Linked DNA regions of Struthio camelus. The protein of the gene in region 1 purifies or fractionates together with the protein of each later gene. This does not show direct contact. Links are inferred from orthologs where the notes say so. Each region holds a gene or a part of one and is shown in the gene's direction. Other genes may lie near its edges.

The links.
Region 2: the proteins of MGRN1 (region 1) and MC1R purify together in Homo sapiens (affinity purification with western blotting; 3 studies listed by BioGRID). This does not show direct contact. The link is inferred for Struthio camelus from reciprocal best matches to the Homo sapiens genes MGRN1 and MC1R.

Annotation. Positions count from the first base shown.
Region 1 is NC_090956.1:18,749,287-18,764,789, forward strand, and holds the start of MGRN1 (E3 ubiquitin-protein ligase MGRN1), read left to right. Parts: upstream 1-8,608; 5' UTR 8,609-8,697; coding exon 8,698-8,785; intron 8,786-15,503. Other genes in the region: UBALD1 (UBA-like domain-containing protein 1), read right to left, coding at 1,510-1,617. UniProt on the Homo sapiens protein: E3 ubiquitin-protein ligase. Mediates monoubiquitination at multiple sites of TSG101 in the presence of UBE2D1, but not of UBE2G1, nor UBE2H. Plays a role in the regulation of endosome-to-lysosome trafficking.
Region 2 is NC_090951.1:1,776,000-1,789,976, reverse strand, and holds MC1R (melanocyte-stimulating hormone receptor), read left to right. Parts: upstream 1-9,245; coding exon 9,246-10,190; downstream 10,191-13,977. Other genes in the region: ribosome quality control complex subunit TCF25, read left to right, coding at 149-241, 961-1,066, 1,605-1,764, 2,860-2,947, 3,531-3,689, 4,408-4,498, 4,706-4,785, 5,414-5,486 and 1 more; TUBB3 (tubulin beta-3 chain), read left to right, coding at 11,570-11,797, 13,582-13,690, 13,818-13,928. UniProt on the Homo sapiens protein: Receptor for MSH (alpha, beta and gamma) and ACTH. The activity of this receptor is mediated by G proteins which activate adenylate cyclase.

The DNA of each region.
Region 1 (15,503 bases):
CAGCTGAGCTTCCTCTGAGTCATGTGAGTGCCAAACCGGCAGGAGACGGCTGTTTGTACTTGTGCAACTCGCCAAACGGTGGCAAAGTTCTGCGAAATGCCTTTTCAAAGGGAAGCAACTTTTGTCACCCGTTCCCGGCTCTTTTACAACACGCACAGAGGTGGCGGAAGCTGATTTTACCAGTCTCAGAGGGCTACTGTCAAGTTGTATTAGTAAACAAAAAAGGCAGCGCGTTACACACGGGCCGCGTCCACCATGAACCGAGATCCCTTTAAGCAGAACGTGCCATTAAACAAATAGGTGTACGGCGGGCAGCTGGGCACGGGCGGGCGGGAGCGTCTGCTCGGCTTTCCGCATGTCCCCACGCCCCCACCCGCTCGCTCCTCGGACACGGCCCGCTCGGCTTTGAACGCCAGCTTCCCATTTAGCATCTGGAAATCTCGTAACTGCACACGGATTGCATAGCAATGAACTGCCTCTAGGTCTGCTCCATCTGACAGTCGTCACGTTAGGGAACGAGCGCCGAATAACGTCTCCGAGGCCTGCTGGCGACGCTTTGAAAGACCAGGGCTGCACGGCGTGCTGAGCAAGAGGTGCCCTAGCCGCACAGACAAACACCAGCCGAATCTCTTGCTCCCCGTACTGACTCAGACCTCCTTCTGCATCACAGAAACGGGCACTTCAATTCTAAAGGTGCCATTAGCGTCAAATCCATCAGCTCCAGACTACGGAGCTGCTGGGGCTGCGGGAGGGGGGGGGGAAATCCTGTTTAGAAAGGGCTTTGCTTGCTACAGCCGCCGCACTCCCCGCTTTGCTCCCAACGCTTTAGCTGCAGGGGTCTGCGTGGAGGCGAAGCCGCGGCGCGCCCCCCGCCTGCGAGCCCAACCCCACGCGCGACGCTCGCTGCCACCGACGTCGCGGAGGATCCTGCTTTTGAGCAAGAGGGAAAAAGACATCCGGGGCGAGGAGAGCTTTGACCTACAAAGTCTCCTCTCCCACAGCTGCCTAAGCATTCAGACCCTCAGAGGCAGGGGACGTGGGAAAGGCTACGGCGGGGCTCCCCAGCCCACAGCCGCTCCGCGCGGCGGGGATGCGGGGCTCAGCACCCCCGAGCGCAGCACCCACGGGCCCACCTGCGTGTCACAGCGGAGCGGGGCTCGCCTCGTGGGGCGCCCCCCCACGCACGCCGGGGCACCCCCACCGCGGCGGAGGAGCTGCTCCCCCCCCCCGCCCCAGGCGGAGCACGACCCCGCGCTAGCGCAGCCCACGCGCGGGCCGGCCGCGCACGTCCCGGCGCCCACGGCCGCCCACGGGGGTGGGGGTGGGGGTGGGGGCAGCGCCGCGCCCCGCCGCCCCCGCGGAGGGAGGGCAGGGCAGGGCAGGGGCGGGGCGGCCCTCCCCGGGCCCCGCCTGAGGCGGGCCGCGCCCGCGGCTCCGAGCCGGGGGGGGCGGGGGGTGAAGGGAGGGGGGCGGCAGCCGCGGCCCCGGCGCGCACGGCGGCGGCCTCACCTCGAACTGCCAGTGGGCCGCCTGCAGGAGCTGCTTGGCCTGGTCGGCGGCGCAGCCCGCCGTCAGCACGAACTGGTTGATCATCACCTGGTGCTTGAGCTCGTCCATGGTCCCGGCCGGGCCCCGCCGCGCTCGCCGCTCCCCCCTCCCCCCCCCAAACCCCTCACGGCGCCGCCACCATCGCGGAGCCGGCGCGGCTCACGCCAATGTTTACTGGGCACTGACTCACGGCGCCCGGCGAGCCCCGCCGACGGCCGCGCGGGGCGGGGCGGGGCGGCGCCGCGCCGCCGCCGCCCCTGGGAGCTGTAGTTCTCGCCCGCCCCCCCGCCCGCGCCGCCCCCCCACGCCGCCGCCGCAGGGACTACGACTCCCGGCAGCCCTCGCTTTGTTTGCATTTCGGCGTCAGAGGCCGACGCGTCCTGAGTGACTCGCCAAGAGGACCAATCGCCGCCAGCGGTGTGGTAGTACCTGACCATATATGGTCAACAACGCTGCTGCCCCCAATGAACGGGAGGTGGGGGCGGGCCCGGCTGGGGCGGGGCCGGTCACGTGGCCGCGCGGGGGGGGCGCGGAGGGGGCTCGCGGTGTTTACAGTCGGCCGCGTGCGGTTTCCTGTTGACGTGCGGGGAGCGGCCGCGGGGAGCGCCAGGGCTGGAGCGCGCGCGCGTGCGCGGGGCGGGCGGCGGGTTGGGGGGGGGGGGTGTAACGGTCGCGCGCTTCCCCCAACGGCTTCTCTCCCCCCCTTCAACGGTCGCGCTGTGGGCGCGGGGGGCGCCGCCGCCGCCGCCCTTTGGCCCCGGCGGCTGCCCGGCCCCCGGGTAATGTTTAACCGGGCGGCGGCGGGAGGGGCTCCTGGGGCTCCTCTGGTGGCTGGGGGTTGCTGCGGGCTGACCGGGGCCGGGCCGAGCCTCAGGCCCTGGCAGAGCCCCCTCAGTGCCTTGGCACCGCGGCAGGCTGCGGGGTGGCACGCCCGGGGGACGAGGCTGCTGCGGCCGCGCTGAGCGGAGCGGGAGGTCTCTGGGGATGCAGGTGCTTTGGGCAGGCTCCGCGTCCCAGGGCCAGGCCCAGGGCTCCTGCGTGCTCCCGTGCTAGCAACAAATAAAAAATGGGGAGTTGCATAAGCCATCTGCAGGCTTGCTTCCATTTCTCCCTTTGCTGAAGCACGTTCCTGTGCTATTTGCATAATTGCCAAGATGTGAAACAAGAGGCTGCAGTGGGGGAATGTTCTGGAAGGTGCCGGGGGCTCCTGGTGACATGAAAGGCTCTTTTGAGAGCTGGGCATTACCATAGCAGAAGAAAGCACGCAGCCAGGCAGGCACTGCTGGGCTGCTCTGCTGTACTGGCGAGGGACAATGGTGTTGCTAAGTACCAGGAAACGATAAGCAGGCATGGACATTCGGATCGAAAGGCTGGGAGATAATAAAGCAAGGGAAAAAACAGCAAGCGGAGCGAAACGAAGAAAACAGTCCCGGCTTTGCAGGGCTTGCGAAGGCCCCGGAGCCTCCACCTTTCCTGAATGATCCTAGGCTCTTTTCCTGCAATTTGTGTTCATGTTTTGGGCTTAGCCTCGGAACAAGCAGTCTGTTCTCTAACGCCTCTCTCGCTCGCCTGCGTTTCGCATACGGCTGCAAGTATTTCTGAGTCATAAGGATTAATGACTGGAGCTCAAGCAGGTCGGACGTTTGATCTGAGTGATTTGCTGTCTCCACTGCTCGCATACAACTTGCCTCAGTAGGGTGCAAAACTGACCACAGGTAACTAACTGTCTTCCATGTGTCCTTCAGTAACGATGCAAAGTGCTCCAGGCTGTAGTGGATCCCGGTGGTCACCGGGATTTGTCCTCCTTGTATGTATGCCACTGCCCAAATCAGTGAGGCCGCATCTGTGCAGTGGCAGTAGCAGGACATGTCAAGAGGTGGCTGGTGTTTTTTATAAGGTCAAGACAATCCCAAGAGGAAAGCAGTAAGAGGGGATCTGTAGCCAGCAAGGTGTTAATGTAGCTGGGAAAACAAACCTCCCGGAAGATGGTTTGAATTCAAGAAAAACAGATGTTTTTAGAAGCCTTCCCGTTTGATTTTGAAGGGGGAAGGGTTGGCCCCAGCCCAGCAGGGCTTTCGGGGAGGGTTCCAAGCCCTTTGGAGCAGGGCAGCGTTTAAGGAGGCAAAGTTCATGGGCTCGCCACTCCTTCTGGTCAGAAATAGCTTCATGCATGGTCTCCAGAGCTCCTGAACCTTGTTGTTCTGCAAGTACCTGACAAAGAACGGGAGTGACAGCACCGGGGAGGGGGCAGTGGAGACAAAGCGAGTTGCTTTACTGGATAATAAACCTAGGAGCAGCTGGACTTTGGATGAGCTGCTCTGATGAGTGGAAGATTTGAAGGCAAACATATTTCCTTGTGTACACGGGCATGCTTGTAACTGCCTTCCCTGGCAGAGGCTTCCAAGGAGGTTTCTGAAGGGCAATTCTGTGTTAGCTGGAGAAACATGTTAACAGTGGTAGGGTGAGTGCCCCTCCTGTCTTTCTGCCTCTTTATCAGGCTGAAGCTCTGTGCAGTGACTCCTGGGTTACGCTCTGGTAATTGAAGTCCAACTTCAGAGCTCCCCTTGCTCTATGTTTTGCAGGACAGAAGCGATCTACTGGAGAGCAGCTGCATCTGGGAAACAGCGACATAAACTCTCAGTGACAGTGAGTGTACAAACGGAGACAGCGGAGAGACCTGAGAGCCAGCAAGGGAGATGGGCTCACGGCTGAAGGATCCTTCCTCTCTACTGCTGCTCCTCTGCCCAGCCTCTCCAAATCAAGCTGGTGACTGGCTCCAGGCTCAGCTTTTCCGGAATGAATTTTACCCAGAATGGAACGTGGGCGAGCTGTGACCCCAGAGATGGCCAGGAGAGCAGAGGCCTCCTCACGCCCTCTTGAAACGCAGGAGGGTCCCTGGGGTTTCAGGCTTCCTCATACGTTTTGTGTTGGGAGTGTTTTCATCTGTTTTAGGGGTGTCAGAGGGCTTCCCACCTGCGTGACCTTTCTCCCTCTCCATCGTCAGCATTGCTCTGCGTAGGTGTCCTGGAGCACAGCGCAGGGCCCAGGGCTGGCAGCACGGAGCTGGGGCTTTCAGCGGAGCCACTGAGCCTGGAGGCGAGGGTGCCATTGCTGCGGCTGCAGCACGGGCGCTGAGAGGGAAGAGCCGGCTCCCACCCGTGAGCTGCAGGACCTGCCTATCCAGTCATTCGGGCACTGTGGCCTAGTGCAGACAGCAGCAGGTGGGGAACCCAAGCAGCTACGGGTGGGCCTGGGCCTCAGTTTCTCCACCTGCAGTACGAGCCCAGTGCTCCTGGCCTTCGCTCAGCACCTTGAGCTCTGCCTGTGCCACAGGCCATGATCCCAGTGCCAGCTGAGCCCCGGGCCATGCAGAGCTGCAGTTGTGCTGCCGCTCTGTCCCCCACGCACTGTTGGGTGGGAGGAAGGCTAGCGGCTCGGGGCCTTGCCGTGCTGCGCCGTAGCTGCTCCGGCCCCGAGTCGTTCCCTTTCCTTCCCCCGTGCTGTTCACAGTGGCTCCTGCGAAGGAATTGAGGCAAGTGGTGCAATATCCTGCCTTTGTGTGTGCTAGCGCCTGGCGTCCCCTGGGCCTGGCAGGGATAAAGGCCCTGCTGTCAGCTGGAGGTGCTGCCCTTCAGCTCCGGCGCTCGCGGGCGCTGGGGTTTGGAGCGGAAGGGCCGGGCCCGTCCCTGGCGTGCCATTGCTATTGTAGTTGTCTGTCACACGCGTCTCGCTAAGCAGAGGCCTTGGGGAGATATTCTTCAGCAAAGGCCCCTACCCTCTCAGATGACAACCCTCGAGGGGCCCCACCACTTCCTCAGAGCTCTGGAGAGCTGCGCCGAGCCCCGCGGGCACCTTCCTGCTGGTAGAGACTTTGCGCGGAACAAAAGCCTCCCGTTGCGGCCGCTTCCCCACGCGGCCCCGATGCCAGGCCTGCGCCAGGGCCCCGCGCCGCAGTGCTGAGCTCCCCGGTGCCTGCAGCGCGCTGCCTGCCGGGACACCGGTCTCCCCTGGGCTTGGAGGCCCTGCTTAACCTGTGCGGCGCTGGGTTCCCCAGCGAGCAGCACGTGCTGCCCTGGGACGGTGCTCCCTGGAGGCACCGCTGGCACCCCTCTTCCCCCTTGCTCCGGTTGACAAGCGGTTGCCAGCCAGGCGCAGGGAGATGTTCCCCTCTGCTGAGCCTTGCTGGGCTGCGTGGAGCCCAGAGGCAGCTGCTGGTGTGCGGGGTGAGGTGGCTTTGGGGGATTTCTGGGTGATTACCGGGGTCTGGGGCTGCCCGTGGCACTGCTAGCTGTTTGAATCAGACCTGCCGCTGCCAGGGCTCTGCCAGGGCTCTCGTTCCCCCCACTGCGGGGCGTCCCTGTGAGTTCCCTGTGCAGGCAGGGAGCAGCCAGGACGTGCTTCTGGGCAGCCCGTGTGGGCCGGACGTGGCTTTGCAGTTCAAAAAACTCCATTCCTCCCTCTTCCTGCAATGTCTGTTGTGAGAAACTCTCGCAAGGAGAGGCTGGTTGGGAAAGAGGGACCGACCCTCCGGACGCCAGCAGGCAGCCTGCGGGATACTGTGGGCAGCGCCCAGACACAAGTTATTGCCAAGGCACCATCTGGCCCCAGCAGAGCTGGGGTCCCCCCGTGAGCCAGGTGCTGTATGTGTCTAGTAATAAATAGCTCTTACTGCAGGGACGGGGAGGCAAGTTCCTGGTCTGCTACTGCAACAGCCAACTAAAGCGTTCAGCCCTCCTCCAAACGCAAAAGGTGTCCCCAGCTCCTGCGGTTAGAAGGAAAGCAGGTGAATAGTGCAGAGGAGGAGAGAGAAGAGGCTGGGACATGCAGCTGCAGACCGACTGTCCCCATTAGTCCTGGGTGATCCCAGGCTCGGTGCGAGGCCCAGTGTACGGGGCCTGGGCTGAGCCCTGCTCCACCGTGCTGACAAAGGGGTGCGTTTCTCCGTGAGCCAGATCAGGCTGCGGCTTTCATGGCTGGGATGAGCTGCTCTCACTCCTGCTCGCCCTGGCCGCTGCCGCTGAGGGCGGCACTCAGCAGCGTTCCTCAGCTGGTAAATGGGGTAGGACGGAAACAGGCCCGAAACAAAGGCAACAAGTCCCCGCTTACCCAGCTCTTGCAGTTTGCAGGTAGGATGTGGGCATTTCTAGTTCCCTGGCTTTTCCCCTCGGTCGCCTTAAACCTGTGACAGAGTCCTGCTCAGCTGCGGAGCTTCCCTGTTGCAGCTGGGCTCCTATCTCACCTATTTACAGGTCAAGGGGGGGCAGCTGACTGGTTGCGTGGAGGCTGGAGTCGATGTAGCCCACTGCTGTGGGAATAAATACAAGGCTAGTTCTTCCTGTGGTGCCACTCGCCCTTCAGACCTAGCGTGGGGCTTGCAAATGGCACTGGCTAGTTTCACAGGGCTCCGGGGTGGATCATTAACAGTGCAGTGTGGTGCCATGGGGAAAAATCAGATTTCAGGTACATTGAGAATTTGAAGCGTCTCCTGTGTGATTCTCAGCTGTGCCCAGGAATGGTCAATAGTCCCTGCCTAATTTCTGGGCCTGATGGGAGCCAGGATTCCCTAGGAGAAGATGTGAGGACGGAGTGAGTGCTAACAGCATGCAACACATCTGCATGTAAAACGATGCTCCCAGGGATATACCAGTTGGGTACAGCAAGGTCTGATTCTGCTTTATTCTCACCCCGAGCATTTGTTCCCATCCGCAGCTCCGTGTGCTGTGTGTGCTCCCACCAGCATGAAGCTGCTGTGCTCAGAGCAGCCGCACCTTCAAGGGTGATAACTAACTGGAAGCAAATTTCCACCTAGGGCTTGTTTGCTTGTTCCCGCCAGGTGCGTTTTAGTTTGTATTTACAGCCAACGTGTCCCACCCGCCGCCTTATCAGTCGCTATCACAAAATCCTCCTGCGCCATCAGGCTCGGCTTGCTGCAACATCTTGTCTTCCCAGCATCCTCAGGCCCCCTGGCCTGAGGCCAGTTTAAGCAATAAGTCAAACATGCCTGTGGTCCTGTTTCGCATCTCAGCTCCTTTGCATCTCTTGGGGATCTCGGGCTCCAAAGCTGGGAATCTGGGTCCCCAGATGGGTGTTGTTGGTTTGTCCATAGTGTGTGTGCAGGAAGATAGCTTCCTTAACAAGATAAGTCTGGGGTGCTCTTCCCTGGGCCTCTTCAAGGTCTTGGCACTGGAGGGGACAGGGCTCTGCATTGGGATGCTGCTGGCATCTTGTTATGCTTCTTCTTCCATCCTGTAGGCCTGGCCCTTATGTCATTAATGCAAGGGACCCTTCAGTCCTTGGCTGCCGTATGAGTGCTCACACGTCTGGATCTCGGACACCTCCTCTCACCCTCCTGTGTGATTCTCTGTGAGAGGACGAACCCTGGGAGTTACCGTGGGTGCCACAACAGCCTCCCCCATGGGGCTACCTCTGCTGTTCCCCCCACCCCATGTCCTGCCTGTGCTGTGCTGGCTCACCCCAGGCACCCGTCCCCACAGGGACCGCACGGGGGGTGCTGCACCCATCCCAGCAGGGCTCCAGCACGGCCCTGTTGCCCACAGCTCATGGCTTGGACAGCGGGCGATGGTGACGGCTGGCTGCTCAGGGCAGCGTTGCGTGCATCATAAGGCGCTGGTGGTTTCCCAAAGGCGAGCAAGGCCCTGGAGACAACGGCAGGACATGGCTGGGCGGAGAGCGGGCACGGCTTGGTGCTGAGGCCCGGAGGGCTGGCGGGCTTCATCTGATCACTGCCCTGCAGCTGGCAGGCACCATGCAAGGTGCATCCCGGTGCGTCCTCTCCGTGCATCCTGCTGCCCGGTGCCCGCGGTGCCGCCGCCCCGGGCTGCCGCTCGGGCCGCGGCAGCGCCCTCTGCCGGCAGAGGCGCGCGCGGCGCCCCGGGAGAGCCCATGGGGGCGCGCATCGCTGCCCCCCCCCGCGGCGCCGCTGTTGGTAGGCGCCGCCGCGGTGCCTGCCGGGAGTTGTAGTCTCGGGGCGGGCGGCCGCCGTACGCCGCGGGGCGGGCGGACTCGCTCTCCCGGCCTGCCCCGCGCCGCCGCTGCCAACGCCGCCGCCGCCGCCGCCGCGGGTGCGGGCCGCTCGCCGCTGCCGCGCTTCTCTCGGTCGCCGGCGCGCCCGCCCTGCCCGCGGCCGCCATGGGCTCCCTGCTCAGCCGGCGCATCGCGGGCGTGGAGGACATCGACATCCAGGCCAACTCGGCCTACCGCTACCCGCCCAAGTCCGGTGAGGGCGGCGGGCCGCCGCGGGGGGGGGGGGGGAGCTTCGCCGGGCCCGGCCGGCCGGGGCCGCGCTGCCGGAGCGGGGGAAGCGCTGCCCGAGGCGGCGGCGGGGGCGCTCGGCCGTGCGCGTCACCGCGGCCGGGGCCCGGGCCGGGGCCGGCTCTGCGCGGGGCCTGGCGGCGCCGCTCGCTTGGCCCCCCCGGGCCTCGCTCCGCCTTTGCCGCCTGGCACCCGCGATGCAACGGGCTAGCGAGGCAGTTGGCGTGAGGCTCAGGCTCCTCCTCTGAGGCTCGGTGCCCTGACTGCCTCGAGGGTGACGGCCTGGCCGCGGCCGGCAAAGCTTTGGGCTCCCGAAGGGGCGTCCGAGGCATCGGCCTGTCCCTGGGCCCGGCTGCCGGTCCGCGGCGACCCGCCGGCCTGCAGGGGCCCCGGCTGCTGGGGGAGGGGACCCACAGCCGCGTTCAGCGGGGGCTTGGGAGCGGAGTCGGGCCCGGTGGGAGGTGGGACGGAGCGGCCCGTGCGCAGCCGCCTCCTTTAGCCCTTTAAAGCGTCGTTCTCCCCTCGGAGCCGCTGGGCTCATGTGGCCTACGTGCGTGCTTGTTTTCCAAAGGGATGAGTTCTGAAAACTTAGGAGATTTGTCGGCAGTGACGCTTCTGCGGAACTAGGACGGGCTTGTGACTCACCTTGCCTTAGACTGGCTGTTGAGATTGGCCTGGTTCCACTTGTTTAAAGGGTTTTATTTATTTTCCTCATTAAATAAGCCATCAGAGAATGCAGATGCTCTTACCTCCTAATTCACGAACAAAACTTTCCAAGTTTATGTTCTGCTAGGGCTTTTCCAGGCAAACTGAAAGAATTTGTAGAGCACCAGTCTGTTGAGTCTCCTCATACCCAGGAACAGGCGCAACATAGCTTTTTTTTCCTCTTGAGTTACGCATGTGTCCGAGGACTTCCTGGCTGTAAAGTCTTCTAAGCTGTGTGATGGAGGGCACCAGGTCCTCACTTTTTGTCTGGAAGGCGTGGAAGGTCTCAGGAGGAGTCCTGTGATCGTTACACCTTGTCTTGTTGCAGGTTTGCCTTCAGCAAGGACAATGATGTGGAGGAGATGGAAGGGAGGAAACTTTTCCAAAAGTTCTTCCTCTGTGCTGGCACTCTGTTAGAAAATCTAACCTGCTTTTTTGGCAGGGGGATAAGAGACAAATTTCGTGGACTGCTAGGAAAGACGCATGTCCCTGCTAGGAACACAGCAGCTAGATACCCCGTGTCTCTGCATGGCTCTTGGCTGGCTGGTGGACTTGCCCTGTGGAGGTGACTGGGTGGACGTAAGCTGGCTGCTAAGTTGTACCTGCTGTATCATGGCGCTCTGCTAGCAATTTTCTGTACTGTTGTAATTACCTTGACTACAATTTCAAGGTGTGTTAGGTTAGGGCAAATGTACTTTTATGTACTAGTCAAGGTAAACCCTTCATAGGCTTGAGGTCTGGTTTGTATGTTCACGTTCACTGCAGAAGGGCTCTGTTGACCTAGATGCTGCCAAAGAGCATTCCAGTTATGGTGCTTGTGAAAGTGAACAGCTAACGCTTTGAAGCTCTTAATAAAAAGAAAAAAAAAAAGCAGAACATTTGCTTTATAGGCTTTGGATGCAATTAGATGCTTATTAATTTGGCTGAACTTTCTATTGCACTTGCCTGTTTTGGGTTAGAACTTTCTCTTGGCTTTCTTCAAGTTTATCTAATAAGGATTCAGTTGACTCCAGGAAGGGAGAAGACTATTTAAGCTCAAGCACCATCTTGGCAGAAGAATAGGTCATGAATGCTTTTAAGATGATGTTCAGTAACCTTCTTTGAATTATCAGAACAGTAAGGGTTGTTATAATGGCAAAAAAACCCTGTCTTTTTAAAGTGGATCTTGTTCAATTTACAAAGGACGTTGTCCCTTCTGGTCCTACAGTCCTAAGCACGTTTGACTTGGGTCTAGAAAGATTGCATACAAATCTGTGACTCGCGCAAAACCTGACAACTGGAAGTCAAGAAGACCAGAAGTGAGTGTGTGATTATATTTCACGAAGCAAGCTGGGAAGAAGTACACAAAGTTCTTAGGCTAAAAGATTGCTAACTATTTCTAACTCGACAACGTTCCTATAAGCCTAATACTGCTACTCACTGCCTTACTAGAAGAAGCTGTTTTTTTCCATCGGCTGGTTTTTGTGCTTGGGTATACGGATATAGAAGTACACAGTGAAGTCTTACTCTGACACACGGGCTGTGTCCTGGCCGCTCAGCGATTGCCCGTTAAAAGGGTGGAAGTGTGGGTGAAGGAGTGTTACCTGAGGCTACGTGCCTGCTGGAGTCTCGCGCAGCACTGAAGGCCGTCTGCCACCTTGTGCGTTCTGTCCCCTCTGAGATCGTGGTTTAAGCAGATCTTGATTTACTGTGGATCCCTGGGAAAGCTGCTGCAGCTCTGATCGGGTGCCGTCTGTTATCCAGATCGCTTTGAAGGGCAGAGTCTTGCATTCTGGAACAAGTATGCCACCTTCCAAGGACATTGTGTCCTGCACAGAAATAAACACAACTTGCAGGTAATCACTGCAGGTAAACACAGCTTGCAGGTAATCACTTGCAGGTAAATCACTGACTGTGATTTAAGCAATATGTCGGCCTTCCCATAAAAAGAAATAGTTACTTACCAGGTCGTACCAAGGGACAGCACCTTGTTGAGTCGCAGCTGGCTGCGATGAATATTCAGTTCTCACTTATTGATTTTGGCTGTGGTTATTGCTGTGGCAGTCATGTGCTCTGTGGAAGATGGAGCAGACTGTTGTGGAATCTACCTTGGCCTTATGAGCCAAGGTTATTAGTTAGGTGTTGGCAGGTCATTTAACAGCTTTGTTGCAACCAGGGTGCAGTTTTGTAGTTAAGAAACCTTCCCTGAAAATGCCCTGCTTATTCCCCCAAGAGTCAGGGTGTGGGTCAGCAGCGTTTCTCCTGCAGCATGGCAGGGATGAGGCTGCTGAAACGCTGTAAGGTGACACCCAAACCTCTCCTTTAATCCCGCTTCACTGGTACCTTTTAACCTTCCTTGTTTGCTTCGGGGAGACTGTGCTAGTATTGCTGATGCCAGACCAGTTGGAAGAGGGTTGGAGGAGGGCCCAGTTTGTCTTGTCAGTTTGTACAGAAGAAATAGTGCTTCCACAAAATGGGCTAAAAATGGGTAATCACAAGGAACAGTCATGATCTTCCCTGTGCTTCTGTGCTTGAAGCAGTAAAACAATAATCCGTGTTCTTGCATGCAGGCTCAGCGCATGATGCCCCTATTGCTTTAGCAACCAGTGAGCAATGCACCAGTGTTTTCCGCAGCTCCTTTGTCAGCTTGTCTCTTGTTCTAGTGAGCTCATCTGCAGTGTGGAGCGGGGCAGGGTGCACATGCCCTTGAGATGACTTTTCTCCTCTGGAGTAGGTTCTTGCTGGAGAATTGCAGACCTTGGCCATATTTAGGAGAAAAAAAAAAGGTTGGAGTACTCCTCTCTGATAATGAACTGCTTTTTTGTTTGTTCTTGTTAGGGAATGATGCTGTAATCAAAGAAAGAACAATTTTAAATAGGAGAAGAGTACCCCTAGTTGTACCTAGTCTCTCGTCTTGTCCTGTTCTGATGTCTCTCAGCTCACGTTGCAACAGAAATACTTCCCTGTATTTCCCAGGTAGCCCTCGTTCCTCACCCACCGTGCAAAGCACAGTGGAGCTGTGACTCCATGACTCCTGCTGTGGTTCTGTAGGGACGTCAGCCCAACCCTGCTGGTGATAGCCACTGCCACCTGCTATTGACTGGTCCCTTCTGTTCCTGTCTTCTCTCAGCTTCTCCACAAGCACCTGGCCTGGGTCAAAAGCAATGTTTTTTTTTTTTTACTGTTTTTTACTGGATTATATTTAACCCAGCTCAGAGTCACGTTCCAGTTTGCCATGTGATCCCTCTTGGTGGCACCACGGGGAGGGGGTGAGGAAGGGATGCCTCTTCCAGCTGCAGAGCTAGCTCAGGTTCAGACTGAACAGGTTCAGGCTGCTTCTAGGACCGATCTGCCAGTCTGTCCCTTGGCACGTGGAATTGGTGGTGGTGGGTATCCGGCCAGTAGTGTGTGATCTGTCACTGTGTCGCCACAACCTGTGAGAGGGCAGGAGGGAAGAGTGGAAAGAGTGCAGGGGAGAAGTGAGAGGAGGGTTCCTAACCTGGATGCTTACGGGAGCTGGTTAGGCTGTTCCCAAGCATTGACTTAACTCACCTTAATAACAGCTGTGCAGGGTGGTGGTTTTGTTGTTGTTGTTTTTCCCCTCCTTATTTTGGCAGTTTAGCCTCTTCTTCCTGTTGACCTACAAAACTGTCTTTTCTACTCACTGGTGTTCAGCAGAAGGTTTTGCTTTCTGACAGTGGTCAAAAACTTGTAGCTGCCTGTGAGTTCTGTGTTCCTGGCTGCTGTAGGTCCTCCCCGCAGTGTGTCACTCTTCCATCGTGACTGTGCGTTAGGCTTGCACGCTACAGGATTAGGCCAGTGGGTTAGGAATAGGTTGGGGTCACGTGGTTACAATCGATGGATGTTGGGAGAGTGGGGGGAGTCAAGCGCTCCATGCCGGCACAGAAATGTGTCTCCTGCTCACTAAACCTTACGCGCAGCAAGGACAAGAGTCGGAGTACTCAGCTAGGTTCACTCTTGACTGATACTTTTGCTTTTTGAGAATGGAGAAGTAATTAGGACTGCAGCAGTGTGCTTGGTGCCTGATGCTAGTGTATTTATTATAAGAAAACCCACCCCTGTCTTAGGCTATATATAGTAGTGTGATCCATATCATTTGATGCTTTGAAGAAGACTCGGATTCCAGTTTTGTTTGTGAGAGACAAACTAATAAGTCAGACTTTGCCATTCCGGATGTTCCAGTGGTGTTTTTCCAGCAACTGTGAAGTTTTCCACCGCAACGGTGTCCTGTTGCATCTACCACTTGTCCTTCAGTTACCTTCAGCAGTGTCACCCGTTCTTATTCTCTTTTATTTAATGGCCTCCTGTGTTTCATGCTGATTTGCTCTGGGGTGTAAAGTTAAAGGCAAAGACCTAGTTAAAGGACACGGTTTCTCTTTGCTCTAGCTTTTGTTTTCATGTTCTCTCCTTCGTTGTTTGTGTACGATCATTTCTTCATGAGTGTCTGTGCGTTCTCATCTCAGGTGATTTCTGTTTGTGCCAGTTCTGTATATGGTTAATTAAGACTTCTGCTTTTCTTTTCTCTTCTTTTTTCCTTTTTCCTGCCAAGGAGAAATGTGCTTAGCTTCCCTACTGCATTCACAGTTACGGAGCTCTGTGTAAAAGTTGGTCTTGCGACACCTGCATAAGGTAGGTCAGGGATGTTTTATAGACTGGCAAGATGTGTGGGAATGAGGTTCAGGAGCCATGGTAGTGTGGGTGAGAGCCTAAAGCGATGTTGGTAACGGAGATGGAAAGAGTCTACCGATGGAGCTGCAGCAGGATTTTAATGCGTGGAGAGGTTGTCTATGCAAGCCGCCTGGGCGTACTACAAATCCTATTGGTCTTACGCTAGATGCGTAGAAACAAGACAACGTGGCAACTGAATTTGAAAAGAGAGGAAACCTCGTTTGTTCCTCTTGAGCCTTCTCTTTCCTTGTAGTCCTCAGTGTGATAATTACAGAAGTGCTTTCTTCTTAAAGAGTTTTGTCTCCGCTTTGGACAAATGCTCAAAGTTGCTTGCGACAGTGGTTGAGAGGAGTACCGCATAACTTTGGTCTGATATTGAGAGCTCTAAATTTAATGCGTCATTCTAGCAGCCACCTTCCGAAAGCTTGCGGTGGAGCGTCTTCTCTTAACTGCTGCAGGCTGTATCGTGAGTTTGTCGAGGCAGGTTGCTGCAGTTCTTGTTTGTTAGCTGTGCTGTTGAGACCTTGTGTTCCCAGCAGTTGTTTCTGTAGCAGCCCTGGCAGAGCCCTGGGGTGTGCTACGCTCCAGCGTATTCCCCTCTGAGCTCCTAGGAGCGATTTGCCCTGTGCTCTTTGTGACTTGCACGGACTGCATTTCGCGTTTGGAAGGCATGCCTCGTAACAAGCACTTCATGCCTGGTCGGGTGAGCTCTTAACTCCAGCAGCAGGCCCAAGGCAAAGCGAAGGATGTGGCGTTTGGCATGAGCGGTGGTTGTCCCGTGGTTTGCTTGTCTCTGGCTGTCGGTGTTTTCTTAGGCCATTTTAAAGGGAAAGGCCAAGTGCAAAACATGAATTCATGTTCTGGCTTGGAATTTCTTTTCAAGGGTGGGATACAGCATGCAGCCTGTTGCCTGTACCTAGAGATGATTTTTAAAGCCTGTATCACCAAGCATCTTGCATATATTAATGTCAACGTCCTCCCACACTTCTGAGGCTGGGCTTTGCTTTTTGTGAAATATCACAATCTAAGCAAGGTAGGATCTAGTGAATGCTTCTGAAGGAGGCACCTCTGGGGAACAACTGCATCGTGAAGGAGGTGACTTGATAGGCTGATGAAAGGAGCCTTTGGTCTGAATACTGAATTAAAGCTCTGATTTGCAGTTAGGTAGATGGTGCTGAGTTGCAGGCTGTAGTGTGTAGTCGTGGAAAATCCTAACAATTTGTAATTGTTAGAGTTCCCCAAAGCAGCTTTGAATGGAGCAAAGATAACGTGGCAGTGCCTTGGACACGCTACTTGTGCACCTCTGTGTC
Region 2 (13,977 bases), on another chromosome or scaffold:
GAACGGGTTTCCTGGGCCCCGCTTGGCTGCCTGCATTGAAACCTGAGGGAGGAGACATTCAGGCTGACTGGCTTCCCATTCTTGAATGAAGCAAAGCGCTCTTCTCTAAGTCTGGCTTCTAAAACCTGTTCTTATTCTGGCTACACAGAGCTTTCTACCTGGCTCTCTTCAAACACCTGATGTTCCTGGAGAAGAGAGGCTGTCCCCGGACAGCCCTGGAGTTCTGCAAGCTGATTCTGAGGTAAAGACCCCAGTGGAGTGCTTTGTCCACGTTTCCTCCAGGAAACGTGCAGGGTCCACGTGGTGACTCCTGCAGACTGGAGTGGGGAGCTTAGGTGCTCCCAAGGAACATGTTGTTAAAAACATGCCTAAGTCTCATCTGCCCTGGGCTGGACCAACAAATTGAGGTATGCTGTTCCCAATGTCGCTAAAGGTTCATTGCCACTCCTCACAGATGCAGTCTCACAGATTAGTTGTGGGTATGTGCTCTTATCTGTCGCTGCTTTGGAGAGAGACAGAAATGATCCTTTAGAAGGAAACTTAAACATATAGGGCCTGGGTGGCCCTCGCATGGAGTTGCCTCGCATGTTGTGAGGTCCTCTCTACTAAGCTGTGGGCCTGGCTGATGCGGAGAAAGGCCTGGCAGAGCCCGGAGTCTTTGCAGAGCATACGTGCAACAGTGGCTTCAACCTGCTGTGTTTGTGTGGCCCTTGATCTTCCTCCTGTGTGGTTCCACAAAGGGCCCATCACCCCTCTACAGGAACGTGGACGCAGGAGGGACAGACACGGCCCTTTGGCCATGTGGGGATGATTTTGTTCCCCTCATCTCCATTTGCTGAGTCATGGAAGCTTTCTGGATGCTAGTGGGAAAGTCTTATTTGACTTAGAAACGAGGGCAGCTCCTTAAGCTTTTGTGACACTTATTTTGGTTCCTCCTGTTGTGCTTGCCTGCCTCTGAAGCCTTGATCCAGAGAACGACCCGCTGTGTGTACTGCTGTTGATAGATTTTCTGTCCCTCCGAGCTAGAGAATACAGCTTCCTGACACGCATGTTCCAGGAGTGGGAGGTGAGTTGCCAACAGGCCGGCTTGGGGAGGGACAAGGCAGGACGAGGTGGGAACTGGTTCGTTCCTGGGGCTCGAGGCTCTTCAGTGGGCTGTCTCCATGTGAGTTGGGCTGGAAGAGGGGGGGAAAGTTGTGCCATGGCGCGTGAGAGGAAAAAGACTTGTATCTCTAGAGCTGTGTAAAAGTTACCCCCTGCAATTTCTCTCCAAAGTAGACCCTCTGAGCTATATTGCATGTGGTTTTCAATACTGGCTTAACCCTTTGAGGGCAGTCTTATGGGCAGACTGGCATCCTGAGGTCATCAGAATGACCAATAAAAGCTAGGGTGTTTGTTAAGTTTTCTCGTAATCCTGGTACCTTATAAACAGTTGTGTGGACTCAAAATTGCTTTCTCAGTTGTGGGAAGACCAAGCCAAGCCAGAGGCTGGAAAGTAACTTACTCCAGTAAGCAAGAAATCCCACTCAACCTACAGGTCAGCCGTGTTGAGGTCACTCTGCATGTCTTCATGTCTTACTAAATCTATCCCTTTGGTCCTGCAGAGTCACCGGAATTTGTCCCAGCTCCCCAATTTTGCCTTCTCCGTTCCGCTGGCCTATTTCTTTCTGAGCCAGCAGGAGGAGCGCTCGGAGCTGGAGCTAAGCCAAGCCCGGGAGAGAGCTGCCCGGCTTATCCAGCTCGCGCTGATCATGTTCCCAAGCGGTAAGTCTGTCCACACCGGTAGGTCTGTCCCCACAGGCTTTGTCACTGTCTTCACCTGAAAAAGCAAATGATGGATTCCAGGCAGTCGAAAACAGAAGCAACAGTTTGCCCGTGGGTTGCAAACGGTGTCTGCCACGGTCCATGCGAGACAGGAGCCCGGGCTCAGAGGGGCAAAAGAAGTCATACAGATCAGCAGTGACAGGTACTGCTGTAAGAGTCCAAGCAGTACCTACAGCCTGCTGTGGACAGTGGTGGGGTTCGGCCTTTCTGCCCTGCACCTTGGCAGGGCCAGAGGGAGTGAGCAGTGGAATCAGATAGGGCTGACACAGCCATGAGTCTGCTGTGTGTTAGGAAGAGGTCAGGAGCTGTTCTCTCTGCCGTTCACCCTCCAGTCAGAGCAGCTGATGGCCCTTCACTATAGATAGTCACAGGCACGCGAGTTGGTGGAGGGTGAGAACTGGCATTTTGGAGCAGGAAAATGTTTTACCCCAGGGTTCCTCAGAGCAGAGACAGCAAGTCTCTCTCAGCTCTCCCTCCAGGGCACTGCTATGCTTCAGATGTGGTCTGTATGGGCACCCATCACTCTTGCTTTTATCCAGTTAGGGCTCTTGTCCCTGAAAGGAGATATGTAGCCCTCCAGGCCCAGAGGGGACACAGAGTGCCAGGGAGGCTGTGTCTTTATAGGCAGGAACAACCAGCTTTTGAACAGAGCTTTAGTTTGTGTTGTCTGAAACCGTCTTTTTTTTTGCTGCTTGTCATGGTGACTGAAATAAAACCCTTGTTCAAGATCAAAGGCCAGCAGCATTACAATTGCACCTTATTTCACTAGAAAAAGTTTGTTGGTGTTTTTCTTTCCTTCTTTTGGATCCGTTTCCGTCATCCACACAGAGAATAAAACACAGCATAAACTCCAGCTGTGAAGCTGGCAGCATCCTTCTTTGTATTGGTTCTCATTCAGCACCCCCAACCTGTTGGGAGACCAGCCCTCCCTGGATGGAGGCCTGTCTCTCTGCAGCCCTGGCAGGGTTGCCTGGCTGCTTCCATGGCACTTCTCGGCAGTCTGTTGAAAATGAGCTATGTGACTTTGTCCTGCAGTTCTTATGCCGTTGTTGGATCACTGCAGTGTGCAGGCAGATGCCAGGGTCACATCCCATTCCTTTTTTGGGCTGAACGCTCAGATAAGGTAAGAGCTGGAGATGTTCTTATTAAATAGAAGGAATCGATTCTTCTGGCAGTGGGGCTCTTGCTTGCTCAGGCAGTTAATAGAGTTATAAGCTGCGGAGGAGACTATCTACCCTTTCTGAATAGGGCATGCCGAGCAGCTATCAGATGCTTTGATAATGGATTCCCATAAAAGCTACCAGATAAGTCTAATAGACCTGCCTCACCTTAATGTAGATGGGTCAGAAGTTCATACTGTAGCTTGTTGGTACATGTAGTAACAGAACAATGTGTGCATGCTTTTGGGGCAGGCTGTCTCCTGCCAGTCTGGGTTTCCCTGACACGTGGTCATGTAAACACATGAATGGTCTCCCCCTCGGGTAAAGGCAGTAGAACTTTCATCTCATGGCTGTGCTTGTCCCAAAAACAGACGGATGCAGAAAAACTGGTGAAGGTAGATGTAAATAGCAAAGCTAGGAGCCTGTGATTCCTCTTTTCATATTCTCACACTGAAGCACAGTCCAGAGTCGAGCCCTTTCCAGACAACACAGGTACCTGCAGGCAGGAGGAAGGAAGGGGCCCTGCATAATAACTGTCTCCTATAGCCAGCCTCCTGCCTTGAACCAGCTGACAACCCTCTACGTGGGAAGGACTCACTCCCTGTGGAAGGACCCTGCTGTCATGGCTTGGCTGGAGACAAATGTCCATGAGGTGTTATGCAAGGTGGATGCCAGGGACCCGCTGGTGGAGGAGTGCGAGCAAAAGTGAGTGTGGTAGACAGAAGAACAGCTCTTGTACCAGACATGGGTGCAGAAAACTGGGACAGACCAGGCTGGGGAGGTAGTCAGACTAGAGAGAAGTTCTCTCCTGGGCAGCAGTGACTTTGGCACTGGCTCAGAGCCTCAAAGCTGAGGGTTAAGCTGTGGGGCCAGGAAGGCAGAGGCTCCCTTCTTCCTGGCTTTGCACAAAGGTGAATTAAGAGCTGTAGCTCCTGCTCGTGGGGGAACGTGCGCCGCGCTAGCTTCCTCCAGCCTCAGCTGTTGCATGTGCCTCGGAAGCAGTGCGGAGAGGACGAAAGGGTTGCCGCTGGCTGGGAGCGGCAGGTGATGACTGCACTGGCTCAAAGGCATTTAGTGCACAGGGCAGGCAAGTGCTTAGAACAACTTCCAGCTCTGAGAAGCTGGAGAGGGAGGCATTAAGTGTTGTCCTGAACTGAAATTAGTTTGCTCTGCTGACCTGCAGAAAGGTGGTGAGAGAATCTGCAGTGTCTCTGAGCCTTTCTGCTCTTTCATCTAGAGGTCAGCAGCCGCTCAGCAACTTTGGCTTTGCCTTAGACCAGCTCTCTCCAACGTGGCAAGTCCCAGCAGAACTAGGGATGAAGCTGACATTGCACACAGAGAAGCAGAAATGAAAACCTTGTTGTGCTGAGGTGTTCTGTGCGATCTCTCAGCAGAAATCCTCTGTCTCCTCTCCCTGCCTTAGGAGGAAGATGCGATACCAGAGTGCACCCAGGAATATCTACCGGCATGTGATCCTCTCAGAGATGAAGGAAGCCACGGCAGCTCTGCCTTTGGTGAGGGGCCTTAAGGCAGCACAGATGGCGTTGCTGTGTGCGGTGTGATGGCACTTGCATCCCTGTTATGCGTGCAAATGCTGGGCATGTCTTAAAACACAGCCGCTGGAGGGGTCCCAGAGGGGACACACAGAGAGGTCATTTTGCCAGGCTTAACACAGCACACAGCAGCACAACCTTCACCTCTTCCTTTTCTCCCCTCTCCAGGAGGTGACATCGCAGCCTGTAATGGGGTTTGACCCCTTACCTCCCTTGGACTCTGTCATTTCCTACACCAGACCAGAAAGGTACCTTTTCCATTCCTTGTTTCTGCACCGGCACAGCTAACGTTTTCCCAACATGCGTGCCTCAGTGCTCGGCGCTCGGAGCTGTCGTCGTCCGTGTAAGAGCCTGGCATATGGCTCTTGCTGACAGGCAAATTGTACAGGCAGAACTTGTCCTACTGCTTTTGTTTATGCCTGGTGGTCACCTTCGGAGACAGCAGCTATTCACAGCCATTAAGACAAAGGCTGTTGAAAAATGTTGGTTGGCATTAGCATCTCTTAAATGAGGTGGTTTGGAATAATACAGATTTAATCACTGCCAGCCACAGTGTGCAAAGACTGTTTGGGTGAAGCTGGTACACGTCTTACACACACTGACCCTGCTTGGAGGAAACCTAGTAGCGCCTTTAATGACTGCTTTGCCCAGATGCTGGCCAGCTGCTGGCTGCCTGGGGCAAGCAAATCCCCATGAAACCCCCAGCCTTGCTTTGGGGAAGCCCACCCGGCTGGGCTGGCTTGGGGAGGTGCTGTGCGTTGGCACTGACGGCGTGGTCCTCTCTAGCTTCTCCGCACTGTCTTAGCCCAAATGAGTACAGAAAGGTCAAATACCAAGCTACCCCCTTAACAGAGTTGTGTGACTTTTCTCTTTCAGAATGAATCATCCATCCAATGAAAGCACTTTATCGCTCTTCTTCCGATCACTGTTGCCAAATTTTAACTTACAGGTATGTGCAGTCAGCTGCTGCTGGCAAACTTGAGCACGCTTCTGCTTTCAATACAGAGAGAAGTATCTACTGCACAGTGTTTCTGCAAAGGGAGTGGCTCTTGGCATGTGCAGTTCATAAACGTCGGGTTGCAGAACAGTCTGAGTCTTCCTGGCAGGCAACATTGCTTTTTTTCCCTGTTTGCTGCAGACAGGCAGCTCCGCAGCTGGTTACTCTAGCTCTGCTCTTTTGCAGGGGGACATCAGGCACGATGGAGATGAAGAGGCTGGAGCAGGGCAGGACCTTAACCAGGGGGTGAACAGGCTCATGGCAGCCATGCGGGACATGCTGGCAAACATCCAGTTTCAGGAGCCCCCACGAGACGACAATCCCGAAGGCGATGCGGACTGGGACTGAGCTGAGAGAGTGCATCTTCCACCATAACACTGTGTAATCACACCCCTGACTTGTGTCGCACTCCAATAAAGTCACACAAACCAGAGGGGCTTGCTTTTTGTGGTCTTTCCTGGTGCAGGGAAAGAGCTCTGTCTGGTGGAGGCTGCCGCTGTAGGCTCTTGACTTTTCACATCTCTCAGTGCAGGGCCAGGAACCGCCTTAAAATGGCGGAGCTAATCTATAACATCCCTCCCCCCAGAGTGGAGGGACGCTTAATGGCTGTAGTCTTTTTTGCCCTCTTCCTTCTGGCCATTTTTGCTTTTCGCCACTTCCTTCAGGCTGAAGGTTCCTTCCCTCCCTGAAACACCCCAGCCCTCACGAGGGTTACAGCTTGTCAAAGCACAGGCTCAGCGGTCGCTGTGGCATTGCTGTCCCCTCAGGGCCTCGGGGTGCAAACGGGCCAGGGCGCTGCTTGAACTCCGGCCAGCATAAAGCAACAGGCTGCATTCAAGTACGTGGCACCCCAGCACCCTGGGTGCTGCAGGTCTCCCTGCGCGTCTCACCCAGGTGTGTAGGGAGCAGCTCTTGTTTGTGATGCAGCTGTTTGATCATGCTGGGAGCAGAAAGGATGTCCCCTGCCCCCCCCCCCCTTTTTTTTTCTCTTTCCCCTATTTTGCTGCTTTTGAGCAGGGCACAAAACGATGCAAAGCCAGGAATGAGGTCAGCTGTAATAACACTCTGGCAGACAGCAACTATGAGCAAAAGCTTTTCTATTTCTGCTGTGTAACGGTATATGTGGCTGCCTAATGCTGAGCCAGGCTGTGCTGTCCAGAAAAATCCTCCCGCTCTGGTGCAGTGCCTGCTCCAGCCGCTGTCTGTGCTGCGTCTGCTTCTGGGAGCAGCCTGGCTCATAAAGCGGCAGTCTGAGTAGTGGCCATGAGGCACCCCACGCAGGGTGGGTGGGTTTCCGCAGCGCTGGGGCTGGTGGGGAAGGCTGCCCTGAGCCTCGCGGTCTGTGCTGGGGGCTCAGTCCTGCCTCCTGGCACGTCCCAGGCAGGAGAGCGAACGGGGCTCTGTCCCGTGGGGAGGAGCGCCCTTTCTGCTCCCTGGTCCTGTGCTGCTGCTCTTGGCTCAGTTCGTGCTCTCTGAAGTTGCAGACTGGGCATTTTATGGCTTTGCACTCAAAAGCTCTGTTGATAAAGCTGAAATTCATTGCACGAATCGGTGCACTGGTTAGCTGGGCAGCAGCCAAGAAGGGAAGACAGTGCCTGTTGGTCTGGCCTCCTCGTGTGCAGGTTTCCCTGCCAGCCTGGGCTGTTTGCTCCCTAAGGAGACCTACTGGTGGGAGGTGTTGGGGACACCATCTTCGCAGGGGGCTGGTGCTGAGCACAGCTGGACTCCCCTCAGCACCTGGGGCGCCTCGGAGAGCCGGGCTCAGCTGCCTGGGCTCATGCTTGCGGGCTTCCCTCTCCTCAGCATTGCCGTGGAGGGGGAGCAGGTCTCGGAGCTGGCCTTGCCCCTGCGGCCGCGGGTGCGAAGGTGGCTCTAGCCGGGCAGCGGCTGCCGCCTCCAGCAGCCCGGCGGCAGGGTGAGCGCGCACCGGCCCGGGCTCAACGGGCAGCTCTTGTCCCCAGAGCACTAGACACAATTCCTGATCCATCCCTGCCGCGCTGACTTAGGAGCCGCTCGGGGTGAGGACGGGCCCTTCCCCGTGCGGTCGCCCGGCCTGCACAGAGGTGCTTTCATCAGCGGCGGGGCCGCCCCGAGCAGGGGCCCTCGGCAGCCTGAGGGAAGCAGCCGGAAGCGGCCGGTGGGAATGGCAGCGGGACCGGCCTTCTCATGCTGATGTGACCGGCTCTTTGGCAGCTGCGCAGCTCTAGGCATCAACACGGAGCAGAAGGCACATGACGGTCAGATGGGCCCCGCGCCTCCCCAGCCCGCCGCGGCGCTGGCGGGGGGAGCCGAGGCCCCTGCGCGGCTCCGGGGCCGGCTGCTCCGAGCGGCGCCGGGCGGCTCTGCAGGCAGCGACCGGGGAGCCGGCCAGGGCCCGGGACTCTGTTTAGTCCGTTCACTGGCTGGGCTTGGCGTTTGCGAGGCACCGTGGTGCATCTCGTCCCCCTGCCCGGAGCAGCTTCTGGTGCCCCGTGTCGGCTGCGTGCGGAGCCGGGCCGGCCGTGGTGGGGATGCTCCAGCAGCACTGGGGTGGTGGGACCAGCAGCCGGTTTCTTCTCCCAGAGAAAATGGAGCCTTTGAAGATCCCTATTAGACCCTGTCACCTGCCCCGCGGCGCGCCACCCGCCTTCCCCGCGTGCTGCTGTGGCCACTGGTGCCCTTGCTGGAGCCCTGGGGCCTGCGAGCACCCCAGCAGGGCTGAGGCGGTGCTCCGCAGCCCCAGGGACGTCGTGGCGGTCTGCAGGGGCCAGACCGACCGCAGCTGGCTCTGCGGTGGGATGTGGCTCCGAGCAAACCCAGAGCCGTGGGCAAGCTCTGCCCTTTGCACCGGACTGGGAGGAGCCGCTCTGCTCCTGCAGCGGGAGGCCGCACGGCCCCCTGGGCTCCCCGGGGTGCACGGACTCCCCAGGGCACACCAGTCCCCCAGGGCACAGGGGTGCATGGGGACCCCAGGGTGCACGGGAGACCCCAGGGTGCATGGGATCTGCTCAAGGTGCATAGGAGACCCCAGGGTGCACGGGAGACTCCAGGGTGCACAGGAGACCCCAGGGTGCATAGGGGACCCTCAAGGTGCATAGGGGACCCCAGGGTGCACGGGAGACCTCAGGGTGCATGGGAGACCCCAGGGTGTACAGGCAACCTCAGGGTGCATAGGGGACCCCAGGGTGCACAGGAGACCCCAGGATGCATGGGGATCCCAGGATGCATGGGATCCCCTCAGGGTGCCTAGGGGACCCCAGGGTGCACAGGAAGCCCCCCGGCCCCCCAGGATCGCAGGGCGCACAGGACAGCACTGTGGGTCCGGCAGCCACAGGCTCCGCGCGGCTGCCCTCACTGCTGGGGTGCAGAGCTGTCATGTGCGTGCCCACCCTCCACGGAGGAGGGGCTGAGGGAGCCGGCTTTAAAATAGGGCAGAGAAAGGGTCCTTTCTTCCCCATAACTCCCGCTAATCCACCACTGTGGACCAGGGAGGAGCGTGGCTGCAAGGGGAGCCGGGGAAGCCTGGGGACGTGAGCGGCTGCAGAAACCAGGGGTGCGGAGCGGCCACCAGGCGAGCGGGCCACCTCTGGCACCGCGTGCCCATCGGGACCCCGGGGCGGCAGGAGGCGCGAGTGTCGCTTCCCTCTGCCCAAAGCCGTCGCAGGAGAGGCGCCCGCGGGGCCTGTGCCTCGCGCCGGGGTCGAGGGCGCGCGCGGGCCGGTGGCGGGCGCGATGTCGACGCTGGCCCCGCTGCGCCTGCTCCGCGAGCCCTGGAACGCCAGCGAGGGCAACCAGAGCAACGCCACGGCCGGGGCCGGCGGTGCCGGCTGCCAGGGGCTCGACATCCCCAATGAGCTCTTCCTCACGCTGGGCCTGGTGAGCCTGGTGGAGAACGTGCTGGTGGTCGCCGCCATCCTCAAGAACAGGAACCTGCACTCGCCCATGTACTACTTCATCTGCTGCCTGGCCGTCTCCGACATGCTGGTGAGCGTCAGCAACCTGGTGGAGACGCTCTTCATGCTGCTCATGGAGCACGGCGTGCTGGTGATCCGCGCCACCATCGTCCGCCACATGGACAATGTCATCGACATGCTCATCTGCAGCTCCGTCGTGTCCTCCCTCTCCTTCCTGGGGGTCATCGCTGTGGACCGCTACATCACCATCTTCTACGCCCTGCGCTACCACAGCATCATGACGCTGCAGCGGGCCGTGGTCACCATAGCCAGCGTCTGGCTGGCCAGCACTGTCTCCAGCACCATCTTCATCACCTACTACCGCAGCAACGCCATCCTCCTCTGCCTCATCGGCTTCTTCCTCTTCATGCTGGTGCTCATGCTGGTGCTCTACATCCACATGTTCACCCTGGCCCGCCACCACCTCCGCAGCATCTCCAGCCAGCAGAAGAAACCCACTGTCTACCGCACCAGCAGCCTCAAGGGTGCTGTGACCCTCACCATCCTGCTGGGTGTCTTCTTCATCTGCTGGGGGCCCTTCTTCTTCCACCTCATCCTCATCGTCACCTGCCCCACCAACCCCTTCTGCACGTGCTTCTTCAGCTACTTCAACCTCTTCCTCATCCTCATCATTTGCAACTCTGTGGTGGACCCCCTCATCTACGCCTTCCGGAGCCGGGAGCTCCGGCGGACGCTGCGGGAGGTGGTGCTGTGCTCCTGGTAGCGAGCGGGACGCGGGCTGCGCGCAGGTAACGGCACGGCCCGGCGGGGACGGGCTGCGGGGCCCGGCCCCCCCCGGCCCGGCCCAGGCTGCGCCCAGTGCCGCGGGGGCCCCGCGCCGCCCGGCCGCGCGGTACCACCCAGCTGAATAAAGGCTCTTTGCATTGATGCTGTGGCTGGCACCGCGCCGTGCGCAGCCCCGCTGCCGCCCCTCGCCCGGCCCTGCGGCCCCCCGGCTTTGTGGGGCGGGGAGGGGGGGGCAGCAGGTCCAGCACCTGCCTGCTCTGGGGACTGGGATGGACTGGGAGCCGCTGGGGGCAGGCGTGCGTGCCGACGGCGGAGCCGGCGTCTCCCCAGCCCCGATGACGGATCCGTGGGGCGGCCGCCGCGTGTCGCTGCTCGGCTGCCGCATCCCCGTGCGCCCGGGCACCGGCAGCAGCCGTGGGGCTGCTCTGCATGGGGCAGCGGGGTGAGGCCACGGCGCTCAGCACCCCCCCCCGCAGCGGGCGCTGGGGGGCTGCAGCCCCCCGGGCTCCTCGCCGGGCCCAGGCGTCCTCGGCCGCCGCCGCACAAAGGGAGGCCCCTCGCCGCCGCCAGCCTTTGTTGCGGCACCGCCGCCGTGGCTCCCCGCGTCCCCCCGCTGCCCCGGCTGGGGGGTCCTGCAGGGCTGCGGCTGTGTTGGGAGCCCTGGGTGTCCGGGGGGGGGATGCCCCCCATCTCCCCCCGTGGTGTGGGGCGGGATCCCCCCCCGTGGGGTCCCGGCCCCTCCCCACGTCTGCAGGGGGGTCCCAGCCCCCCCCCAGTATGTGGGTGGTGTCTGGGTCTCCCTTTCTCTCCCCCCCCCTCCACGCCGGGATGTCCCCGCTCCCCCCACTCCGGGCGTGCAGGTGGGCTCTGTCCCTGCCGTGGGTGTCCCCCAGCCCCACGGGTGTCCGGGCCGGGGCCCCCTCCCCTCCCCCACACCGCAGGGAGCTGGGCTGGGGTCTGCCCCTCCCCCACAACGAGTGTCTGCGGGTGACACCCCCCCCGTGGGTGCGGGTGGGGGTGGGGGGTGTCCACGAGCGCCGGGTCCCCCCTGCCGCCGCCGGGCTGGGCCGGGCCGGGCCGGGACAATCCCAGCCGGGCCGGGCCGGGCCGATCCGTTCCCGGCCGTGCCGAGCCGATCCGTGCCGGGTCATCCGGGCCCATCCATTGCTGGCCGATCCGTGCCGGCCGGTCCGGACCGATTCGGTCCGGTTCGGTCCGGTCCTTGCCGTGTCGAGCCGTGCCGGTCCGGTTCGGTCCGGTCCGTGCCGTGTGCCGTGCCGGTCCGGTCCGTGTGCCGGTCCGGTCCGTGTGCCGGTCCGGTCCGGGGCGGGGCGGGGCGGGCGCGGTGCTGCAGGGATGCTGCAGCGCGCTGCGGCGGCGGCGGCCGCCGATTGGCTGCGGCGCGGGGGTGACGTCAGCGGCCGGCCCGGTGCGGCGCGCGGCGCCTATAAAGGCGGCGGCGGCGGCGGTGCCGCCCCCCGCGCTGCCGGTACCGCTCCGCGCCCGCCCGCCCGTCCCGGCCCGACCATGAGGGAGATCGTCCACATCCAGGCGGGCCAGTGCGGCAACCAGATCGGGGCCAAGGTAACGCCCGCCACCGGGCACCGCCACCGGGCACCGGCACCGGGCGCTGCGCCGGCCCCGCCCCGGCTCTGCGGAGGGCAGCGGCGGACAAAGGCTCCCCCCCTCCCCCCTCCCCGCCCCGCCGCACCGGGCAGAACAAAGGGCCCCGCCCCGCTCCTTTGTCCGCCGCGGCGCGGGGGAGGGGAGGGCGGGGGCCGCCGCCTGCCGCAGCCCCGCCGCCGCCACCGGGTACCGGGCACCGGGCGGCGCCCCCGGTCCCGGCCCGGCCGGCGAGCACGAAGGCGGCGGCGGCGGCGGTGTGGCCGGGGCGGTGCCGGTGCCGCCGGGGCCGCCGCGAGCGGCGCTTCAGCACCGCGGCCAGCGCCCACCCGCCCCGAGGCGGCGGGGAGGGGCCGGGGGCGCTGTCCCCGGTGCTCGGGGTGACACCGCCACCCCCCCCCCACCCAGCCCGGACCTCCCCGGTTCTCCCGGGGTGACCCCCCCCCGGGGGTGACACTGCCACCTCCCCCACCCCAGACCTCCCGGGGTGACCCCCCCCCGGGGGTGACACTGCCACCTCCCCCACCCCAGACCTCCCGGGGTGACCCCCCCCCGGGGGTGACACTGCCACCTCCCCCACCCCAGACCTCCCGGGGTGACCCCCCCCGGGGGTGCCACTGCCACCCCACCCCAGACCTCCCGGGGTGACCCCCCCCGGGGGTGCCACTGCCACCCCCACCCCGGACCTCCCCGGTTCTCCTGGGGTGACCCCCCCCCCGGGGGTACCACTGCCACCCCCCTCCACCCCGAACCTCCCCGGTTCTCCCGGGGTGACCCCCCCCCCGGGGGTACCACTGCCACCCCCCTCCACCCCAGACCTCCCGGGGTGACCCCTCCCGAGTGACACTGCCACCCCCCCCACCCCGGACCTCCCCGTTCTCCTGGGGTGACCCCCCCCCCCCCGGGTACCACTGCCACCCCCCTCCACCCCAGACCTCCCGGGGTGACCCCCCCCCGGGGGTGACACCACCAACCCCCCCCACCCTGGACCTCCCTGTTCCCCCCCCTGGGGTGACACTGCCACCCCCCTGGATCTCCCTGTTCTCCTGGCATGACCCCCCCCATCCCCCTGGTCCCCTGGGGGTGACACTGCCACCCCCCCTGGACCTCCTGATTTTCCTGGTGTGATCCCCCACCTCCCCCAGTCCCCCGAGGTAACACTGCTAGCCCCCCCCGGACCTCCCTGTTCTCCTGGTGTGGCCCCCCCCCCGGGGTGACACTGCCACCCCTGCCAGACCTCCTGGTTTTCCCGTCGTGACTCCCCCCCCACACACCCCTCTCAGTCCTCAGGGTGACACCATCACCCCCCCAGGCCTCCCTGTTCTCCTGATGTGACCCCCCCGGTGCTCAGGGTGACACTGCCACCCCCCCGGACCTCCTGGTTCTCCTGATGTGACCCCCCCCCACCTCCCCTGGTCCCCTGGGGTGTGGCACTCCCAGTACTGGGTCTCCCCCCCACCACGATGCAGAGCCTGCCCCCCCCCGTGCCAGGCCCCCAGGGTGCTCTCCTGCCTCTGTGGCACCCTTGGGTCCTGTCCTGCCCCCCCCCATGGTGCAGAGGCCCCCTCCCCCCCCCGCAAAGGGTAGGATCACCCCTGGGTCCTGTCCTGTCCCCCCCCCCCCAACGGTGCAGAGACCCCCTGCCATGCTGGCACCAGGCACCCCGAGCTGGGGCTGTGCCCCATTGCTGGGGGACACTGCCCCCGAGCGCTGCCCCCTCTGACCCCCCCCCCGTGCCCCCCCAGTTCTGGGAGGTGATCAGCGATGAGCACGGCATAGACCCCAGCGGCAACTACGTGGGCGACTCGGACCTGCAGCTGGAGCGCATCAGCGTCTACTACAATGAGGCCTCCTGTAAGCCCCCGGCGGCGGCGGGCTGGGCAGGGAGGGCGGCGGGGGGTCCCCGGGTGGGGGTCCCCACGGTGCGGTGGGCTCGGGGGCGCAGGGAGGGGGCGGCGGGTCACTCGGCGTCTCTCCGCAGCTCACAAGTATGTGCCTCGCGCCATCCTGGTGGACCTGGAGCCGGGGACGATGGACAGCGTGCGCTCGGGCGCCTTCGGACACCTCTTCCGACCCGACAACTTCATTTTCGGTACGTCCCCCGCGCTAGCACCGGCCGGACCCCAGATGGCTCCCACACC